Linked DNA regions of Xenopus tropicalis. The protein of the gene in region 2 interacts with the protein of the main gene of each other region in a biochemical or structural test. Links are inferred from orthologs where the notes say so. Each region holds a gene or a part of one and is shown on either strand. Other genes may lie near its edges. The genes, in order: sri and anxa7.

The links.
Region 1: the proteins of anxa7 (region 2) and sri interact in a biophysical measurement, tested with the Homo sapiens proteins (2 studies listed by BioGRID and IntAct, with this or other methods). The link is inferred for Xenopus tropicalis from reciprocal best matches to the Homo sapiens genes ANXA7 and SRI.

Annotation. Positions count from the first base shown.
Region 1 is NC_030682.2:30,841,123-30,845,482, reverse strand, and holds the start of sri (sorcin), read right to left. Parts: upstream 2,840-4,360; 5' UTR 2,789-2,839; coding exon 2,744-2,788; intron 1-2,743. UniProt on the Homo sapiens protein: Calcium-binding protein that modulates excitation-contraction coupling in the heart. Contributes to calcium homeostasis in the heart sarcoplasmic reticulum. Modulates the activity of RYR2 calcium channels.
Region 2 is NC_030683.2:39,537,426-39,541,740, reverse strand, and holds the start of anxa7 (annexin A7), read right to left. Parts: upstream 2,917-4,315; 5' UTR 2,773-2,916; intron 1-2,772. UniProt on the Homo sapiens protein: Calcium/phospholipid-binding protein which promotes membrane fusion and is involved in exocytosis.

The DNA.
Region 1 (4,360 bases), on a different chromosome or scaffold from region 2:
TTGTGCTTTTACGTAGGCCAAAACAGCCCAGTCCAGATGCAGAAGATCACCGATTCAAGCATAGGGGCTGTGTTTATACACAGGCTGAAAATCAACCTTAATTCTATACATTGTATGTGGATTTGTCAGTTTATACACAGAGCAGCTACTTGAGGTGAGAACAATATTGCTTGCTAATTTTTGGTTTCTAAGCTGACAAAAATATTCATATGTCTGTACCCAGCATTAGATGCAGTGCAGTGGAACAAAAGGGTACTAAGGTTACAGCTACTGTATAAAAGACTAACTGTCTACAACTGACAATATCTTACTGTTCTTTCTGGCATAAAAGAATAACCATAGACTAGAAACCTTTGTGCCTTGTAACTATGGAACATTAACCTTTACCCAGTGCTAAGCAACGAGCTTGTCCACTGAATGCATAGTAAAAGCACTATATAAACACTCCCAGCACCTTGGAATAACAACGTTTTGCTGTTTCGCATTTTGTTTATAGTATCCACAGAGAGCAAAATTGCACCCACTGTTGTTTGAGTACCCTGCAAAGAAAAATGTTAAATTATACACATACACTATATGCCATATTGCTAAATGCCATATTCATACAGCTTACTACAAGGGGACTTATACGTCATATTCTGCAGGCTATCATGTTATTTATTCTGTCTGATTACGATTTGTAGGGAAACAAGTGCTATCACTTTTTTTCTGAGCACAGTTTTTAAGACTATATTTTACAGGATACTCATGAATCTTTGTATATTATAATCTTATAGTAAATGAGCCATTAATATTAATTTTAATAGCCATTATTTATTACAGCAAGTAATTATGAATGGTGCTTAAAGAAGCAATTAGTTATAAAAGGTGCTTAGGTACATGCGCCCTAGTGTATGGTTCTCCTTGGTAACAACTCATATACTTATAATGCATAAAAGCCATGAATATCCTGTAAAGTATATCCTTATAAAGCTTGCTTAGTGATATCAGTTATATTTGGTGCTCAATGATGCAATTTTTTTATAAGTCACATGACTCACTGAAACTTGTGTATTAAAATAAATAATGCACTTCCTGTTGTAAAATATGAAGATATCAGAAGTCTCCTCAGAGTTCCAATACCTGTATAAATGCACTTGGTTTTCGGCTTTATGCTTTTGTATGGTCATGGAACGCCTTGGTGACTAATATCCTAATATTTTACAATAGGACATACATTATTTACTATATATTTATATTATAATGGGGGAGGTTATTATTATTCCCTACATAAATGGTACCTTGGGATGTCACCAGTTATAATTTATGCTCAGTAAAGTCACTTGCCTTAGAAAATGTTCAGGATTGATTGATTGATCAAAGGATTGAATAAATGGGAAAAACCCTAATTTTGTAGGAAATTATGAATAATATACGGTGCTGGTTTCACTTTGGGCTAAACATTAATCCTATCTGTAAAAATGGGCCCTTTATTGGAACTCCCTATAGATCCTATCACTTCTCTGTCCGTGTTTAAAATGAAGGATGGGCGTGTCGTAACGGTCCCTGCCAGAAGCACAGTAGGAGGGGGAGAGCCAATCACAGCCTTGCACTCACACAAGCAAAGACAGGCTTCAGTTCCCTATCAGGTCAGCCTAGCTGCTGATTGGTTCCCATCCTACAGTGCAGTTGTGCTGAGTGCTGCTGCTCCCCCACACATCCAGAGAATTCAGCCAGCAGGAAGTGGAACAGATGGGCGGGACTAGCAGGGTTTTGGTGAAATTTCTCAATAAATCAGTCCAAAACAACTTTTTTAAGCACAATCCTTCTATAGCTAGGAGGAGTATAATTCACTGGTACATTCCTAATTTTTATAGGATATGTCTCCTTGAAGAAAACAAGAAGCCCACCACAACCTGAAATACCAGCGGTCTATCTGTTCAAAAACGATTATTACATCCATTAAGTGAGCTGCCTTAACCATCATATACTTTGATTCACAGCAACCATCTAAGTTGTGAACACAGAACATATATTGTTATATTATATGTTGCATAACTAACACAAGGATTGTGTTTTGCATTATGTATTTATTATGTATGGATTTGTGTATTGCATTATGCAATGTATGAAACCCACTTATTGTACAACGCTGTGGAATAAGTTGGCACTTTATAAATGAATGTTAATAATAATAATGATATGTTGTGTAACTAGTGCCTGTCAGAGGGAAGATGCCCTGCCAGTGTCCCCTACTCCCCTATCCTGTAAAACTACAAAGTAGAAATAACACAGAATAAGTGATAGGGCTGCTACAACTATCTATGGGAAATGTTTTAATGTAGATATGTTTACTTTCCTGGCTGAGGAATACATGGCCTGCAATGGGAGAAAGTACACTATATTATGGGATGTACCAATTCCCAGGGCCTGTAGGTAGCACAGCAGCAGGGCCTGACAGACTGATAATAACCTTTCCTCAGCTGCTCCCCCCCCCCAGAGAATGGCTTTACCCGCTCCCTTACTGCTTGCTACATTGCCAGAACATCACACGCCTGTATCTATAGGAACACAGCCATTCAGTCTCATTCCAACAAACGACACTGCTCCCACATCCCCATTACCCCCACTACTCCCTCCAGTATAACACAGAGTAGCCCCAAGTATGTTCCTATACAGTTCCACAGTACTTTATACAAACTCAGAGTTTCCCTACGTCAAAGCCCAAATACCGTGCGGCCAAGTCCCCCCGTGTGCACCTTACCCCTCCTTGGTAATAGCCTCCTGGCTGCTGTCCCGGATACGCCATGGCCGCTGCAGAGAGTGAGTGAGCCTACACAGCACTGCGTATCTGATCTTTAACCCACAGCGGATACAATGTAAGAGCGGCCACTCCCATCGCGCTCTGCACTGCCTCAAACCCACGATGGGCGGGGGCGGCATCCGGAATGTGAGTGAGGTGCACTAGTGACCCCAACCCGGGAAACGGCGCACACAGGGGAGGCCCGCCCTCTGAGCTGCTCAAACACTCGGGGATTAGCCTTGTCAGCCCACGCCTTTACTAAAGTACATAACTATACTACCTTGTAATAACAGGGCTCTCCCTAGAATGCCCTTGGGCTACTGCATATAGGTCTCTTACTTTCAGTCAGAACGTTGCACATCACTCAGACTGTAAGCTCTAGGGGCAGGGACCTCCTTCCAACTGTGTCTCATCCCACATGGCACTTACTCCCTGTGTATTTATATATTTATTGTATTTATTACACTTGTCCTCCCTGTGTGTAATTGTGTATTCTGTAAGACTGTACAGCGCTGCGTACTCTTGTATCACTTTATAAATAAAGTTATACATACATACACATCAGTATGGGTGCAAGTTTTCTTATCTAGGTCCCCAATGTATATATAAAGGTGACCTATGTGTAAAGGTAAAAGTTATAAGATTCTCTTGTTTGGCGAGATCACCAAATGAGCGGATCTTTCCCCAATAGCATACCTCCCAACATTTTGAAAACGGAAAGAGGAACAAAAATAAATGCCGCAGCAATTTTTTGCAACCACACCCCCTAAATACCACTCCTATTTGACTAAATATGGCAGGTTATTTAAAGCTTGAACCATTTCTGGGGGTTTTGGGGTCCTGTTTTATGTGTTATTGCAGTTTTGCTGAAAAAAGATGAAATTGCCCTTACAGCTAATGCCAGACGAGGCGTAGGGCGGATATTTTCGGCAAGCAGAAAAGCGAAAAGATGCAAGTCGCAGTTTCCCCAAGAGACCTGTTTAGCTTACAGTGGCTTGCAAAAGTATTCGGCCCCCTTGAACTTTCCACATTTTGTCACATTACAGCCACAAACATGAATCAATTTTATTGGAATTCCATGTGAAAGACCAATACAAAGTGGTGTACACGTGAGAAGTGGAACGAAAATTATACATGATTCCAAACATTTTTTACAAATAAATAACTGCAAAGTGGGGGGGGCGTAATTATTCAGCCCCCTTTGGTCTGAGTGCAGTCAGTTGCCCATAGACATTGCCTGATGAGTGCTAATGACTAAATAGAGTGCACCTGTGTGTAATCTAATGTCAGTACAAATACAGCTGCTCTGTGACGGCTTCAGAGGTTGTCTAAGAGAATATTGGGAGCAACAACACCATGAAGTCCAAAGAACACACTAGACAGGTCAGGGATAAAGTTATTGAGAAATTTAAAGCAGGCTTAGGCTACAAAAAGATTTCCAAAGCCTTTAACATCCCACAGAGCACTGTTCCACCGATCATTCAGAAATGGAAGGAGTATGGCACAACTGTAAACCTACCAAGGCCGCCCCCCTAAACTCACAGGCCGAACAAGGAGAGCGCTGATCAGAAATGCAGC
Region 2 (4,315 bases):
CTTGCTGTCTTTATTTAGACAAGCTGAAAGTAAGTGCTTACTTAAAGGCAGCAAAGGCACAAGGGCCTGATTTAGGCAGTCTGGCAGCATGGTTTTGAGCTGCTTAAAAACAAGACAGTCAAAGTGTCCTAAACAGCCCCCCTTAGACGTATATTGAAATTGCATGACAAGCACTTGACACCTGTCAGGCAACTGGTCCCTTAAAAAAAAGTGTACAAGGGCAATATCACAAAACAAAAATAGAACGTTGTGCCCTCATTTGTAACACTAGTGTATTATAGCCCCCAGACTTTCGATTGGCAGCCAGTTGATCACAGCCTATCATATATGCTGTGTTGCAGAGATTCTATTCTAGGAAAATATTAGCCAAATATCCCCACACCCCATTAAACAAACAAAAAAGCCTTCTTCTATGTCTATAAGACTTATCTTGTTTGTATTTGGGGGTATGAAGGCATCAATAAAAAGGATATCCACCTTTAGGCTAATGCCAGACATGGCGTTTTTACGCTGCGTATTTTCTCCGCCTAAAAACGCCGCACAACCCACAAAGCCCCTGACTATGGCGTTTTTCAGCCTAGTACTGGTGATGTAGCAAATCCCATTTCCCATGGTGCTAATAGTGCGAAATAGTAAAAACGCTGCGTATTTCCGCTAAGTCTGGCAGCTGCCTTTGTGTACACATAGGAATAGGTTGCTGTTCAAATAATGGCGTATTTCGGCAAACGCATGAAAAGTCCGTGGTAACGCGTTTTCTAGCGTATTTACGCATAGTGTGTTTTCCATCGAGACTGTTTAAGTTATTTCTATGGATGATGATATTGTGCGTTTTTCAGCCGCCGAGAGAATTAGAAAATATGCAGCGTAAAAACGCCACGTCTGGCATCAGCCTTATACTGTAAAGTACATATTTGTATAGGTCACAAAGGGTCTATAAATATACTTGGCAGACTGGGGACAGAATTTCTTATCTCAAGTACCCCAAGCAGCTTTCAATCCTACAGTAAGCCAGCCATGCTTTTTATATGTAATTTATCCCTTTAAGTTGTATTTAAACTGAGCCCTCCAAAATAGACACCACTAACAGAAAACCCCACTACTGCTGGAGCACGTGGCAGATAATGTGCCTGGCATACATCACGAAAAAGAAACTGGACAAGGGCACGCAGGAGTGCTCTGTACAGTAATGGCTATGCACGCTGGTGAACTGACTGGCAATGTAAACAACGGGGGGCAGGGCAGGAGGCGTTGCACCATTTCACCCCCCCACACACACACTACCCGGAAGTTGCTGTAATTCGATTCCCAGCATTCGCTAAGACATAATTAGGATGTATGCAGAGTAGGGAGGTCCAACAAATATCTGGTATAGATTAGCACAAAGGGCATGTAACACAAAGCAAAACTATGTTATTTACATGAGAATGTTGTATTGGCTAGGCCAGCACCTGCCATTAAAAATGTTCTTGGTAACAACAGGGTATTTTAAGGGCAGCCACCAGTCATAAACCCTTTAGAGATCAAAGGTTGTTTTATCATGCAATAATAAAGAAAGTTAGGAGATAGATGGCTAGGAACTACTTTGATTTAATATTGCCATTAAGGCTGCTACAGTCAACCTTATGTTGGACTCCTCCTACATGAACTTTATTATTGGTTTATAAGGACTTGGAATTGTATTATTGATTTGTTAGTTTATGAAACATGGAATTATTATTTATTAGTATACTGCTGATAAGCAGAAAGAAAAGGGGGAAAAGGTCTCTTAGCTGTCTTTGGAGGGTTTCTTGGGTTGAGTGTGAGGGTTCACCTACAATAAAGGTTTTCCATATAGGTGGGCCATGAATAACACCTGGCATGCAGGGAATATCCTCCTCCTACGCTTTTCAGCTGGCAGAGAAGCGCCCAAACCCGGTCATTAGTTTTAAGTGAAAATGGCTGCCACTAATGGGGAACGTTGGCTAGAAACGCTCAAATGCAACACCCATTTATTAAAAATGGTCAATAATTTTACAATAGCTGGTAACAATGCTACTGAAAGCAGTGTCGGTTTATATTATCTGCATTGCTGGTTCTGACTAATGAGATGAAGTAGCAGGAGCCTACCTTTTGAGAGTCAGAACTAGAGAACAGAATGGGAAAAACAAACTTTTAGTAGCATGTACAAATAATTTATACATTTTACAAATATTAAAATATATAAAATTAATATATTGGGAAGTTGGTTTAATTTTATATTGTTTTATTTTTCATTGGGGCAGTGAATCCCTGTAATACACGGGAAAGCTCTCCCATGAGAGTGTATTGAGGGGTTGGTTGCATTGAGTTCAGTGGGGGACAAGGGGGGGGGAGGACAAGGGGGGGGGAGGACAAGGGGGGGGGGGGCAGCCTCCTGGGTGTGGCTGCACCGGATTAACTGTTTGGGATCCGTGTGGGGCACACACCCAGCCCCAGCATTTATGACAGGCACTAGCCTCGGGCTTGCAGTTGTAGCTAATGGCTGTGGTGCCTGCCCAGCAACATTCCAGCAGCAAAGCCTGCCTTCTACTGACAGAGATCCCAGCCTTTCAGCCTTATATTCATGCCGCTTCTATTGCTGCCATGTTATCGGACTACCCCAGCCTATAGCAAGCTACTAATTGCTGAAACTCAATAAACTACTACTCCCAGCATCCTCACAGACACCTAGATACTAAGGTTTGCAGCTCAGCAACTGCAGCAGAATCGCATATTTGCACTACCCTGGCCGTGCCCCGCCGTGAGAGCCCTCACCTTGTCAGATGCTTGCAGGAGTTCTGTGAGAAGGAGACTTCCGAGACCTGGCGCTGACAAGATGGAGCTCGCAAATTAAATCTCCCTCAGGAAAGACAGGAGGAGAAAGGCGGGGACACCAAAGCACCCGGAAGAAAGGTGGGCGTGCCCTTGTACTGCGTAACTTCCAAGCGAAGGGCAACTTTAGCTGGTGGGCGGGGCTACTGGTGGGCGGGGCTGTGCTGAAAATGGGAAGTGGTGAGCGCAAATAGGAACCGAAAACTTGCAGCGAGCAAGCTCTAAGGACGTTTTTAGGAGTTATACGTTTTGGACCCATTTGCATTGTCCTCTGTACTAAACACAGAATATCATTATTTGCAGAGTCCGCTATTGAACAATACAGTGTTCTTAATACTTCTGTACAGCAGGTTCGCAACATGGTTGCTAAGCAACGCAGGAGATGCTTTTTCTATTTTGGTAACTAATCAAACAGCAGTGTTTGCAACGGCTCTGGTAGCCAAAAATAAGCAAAATGTTATCATCGGAATATTTTACTGGTCATGCCAGTGGCATGAATTGGGAGGCTCTGTTGCCCCTCCCTGGGCACCAGGTCATGTGATGCGTGTGGACTGGAAGGAGACATCTGTTCTTATTGCCCCCTATAATGTTTGTAGACTCTTCCTTATCATTACTAACAATGTTTATAAAGCACCAACATATTTCACAGCGCTGTACAATAGATGGTTGTCCCCGTTATTTAAATAATACAATGAGGGCAAAATTGGGCCATACCGATTAACGCCCAGGTACCCCCCACCCCCATCTTCCCAATCTCAATGTGGGATTGTTCTTCAATTATAGGACCACTAGGAACATAGAGGTGAATACAAAAATACAACTAATACAAGAGGGCCTTTCTTAAAGGGAAAGTAACACTAAATTTTTTTAAGTAAAAAATCTATTGTACCCTGCTCCAATAATTGCCCTATCTTGCACACCATTTATTATTTTGAATGCTTTATTAGAAAATACCTGCTAAAACTTTGCTTCCGGTCACTTCAAATACGGCGATATGGCGATCCTCCCTCTGCACAATCCACTATGCGACGATCCACATAACCTCATAGCCTTCATTCTGTACAAGCAAACAATTGACTTCCAGTTTTGGAGTCGGGCTAGGAGGAGATGTGGATTGTCGCATAGTGGATTGTGCAGAGGGAGTATCGCCGTATTTGAAGTGACTGGAAGCAAAGTTTTAGCAGGTATTTTCTAATAAAGCATTCAAAATAATAAATTGTGTGCAAGATAGGGCAATTATTGGAGCAGGGTAGGATAGATATTTTAATTGAAAAAATTTAGTGTTACTTTTCCTTTAATAGAGCTATGTATTACTACAGCTGGGGTAATCTTGTTAATTTTTATAACAATATCCCCATAGTAAGGTATAGCCAAGCAAGCCACGTGATGGGCATAATGAAAAACTGTGCGTACCATGATGGCGAAAACCAAAAGCATGCCCAGTTTGCAGCACACAGGACCTTTTATTACATTACATTACATTAAC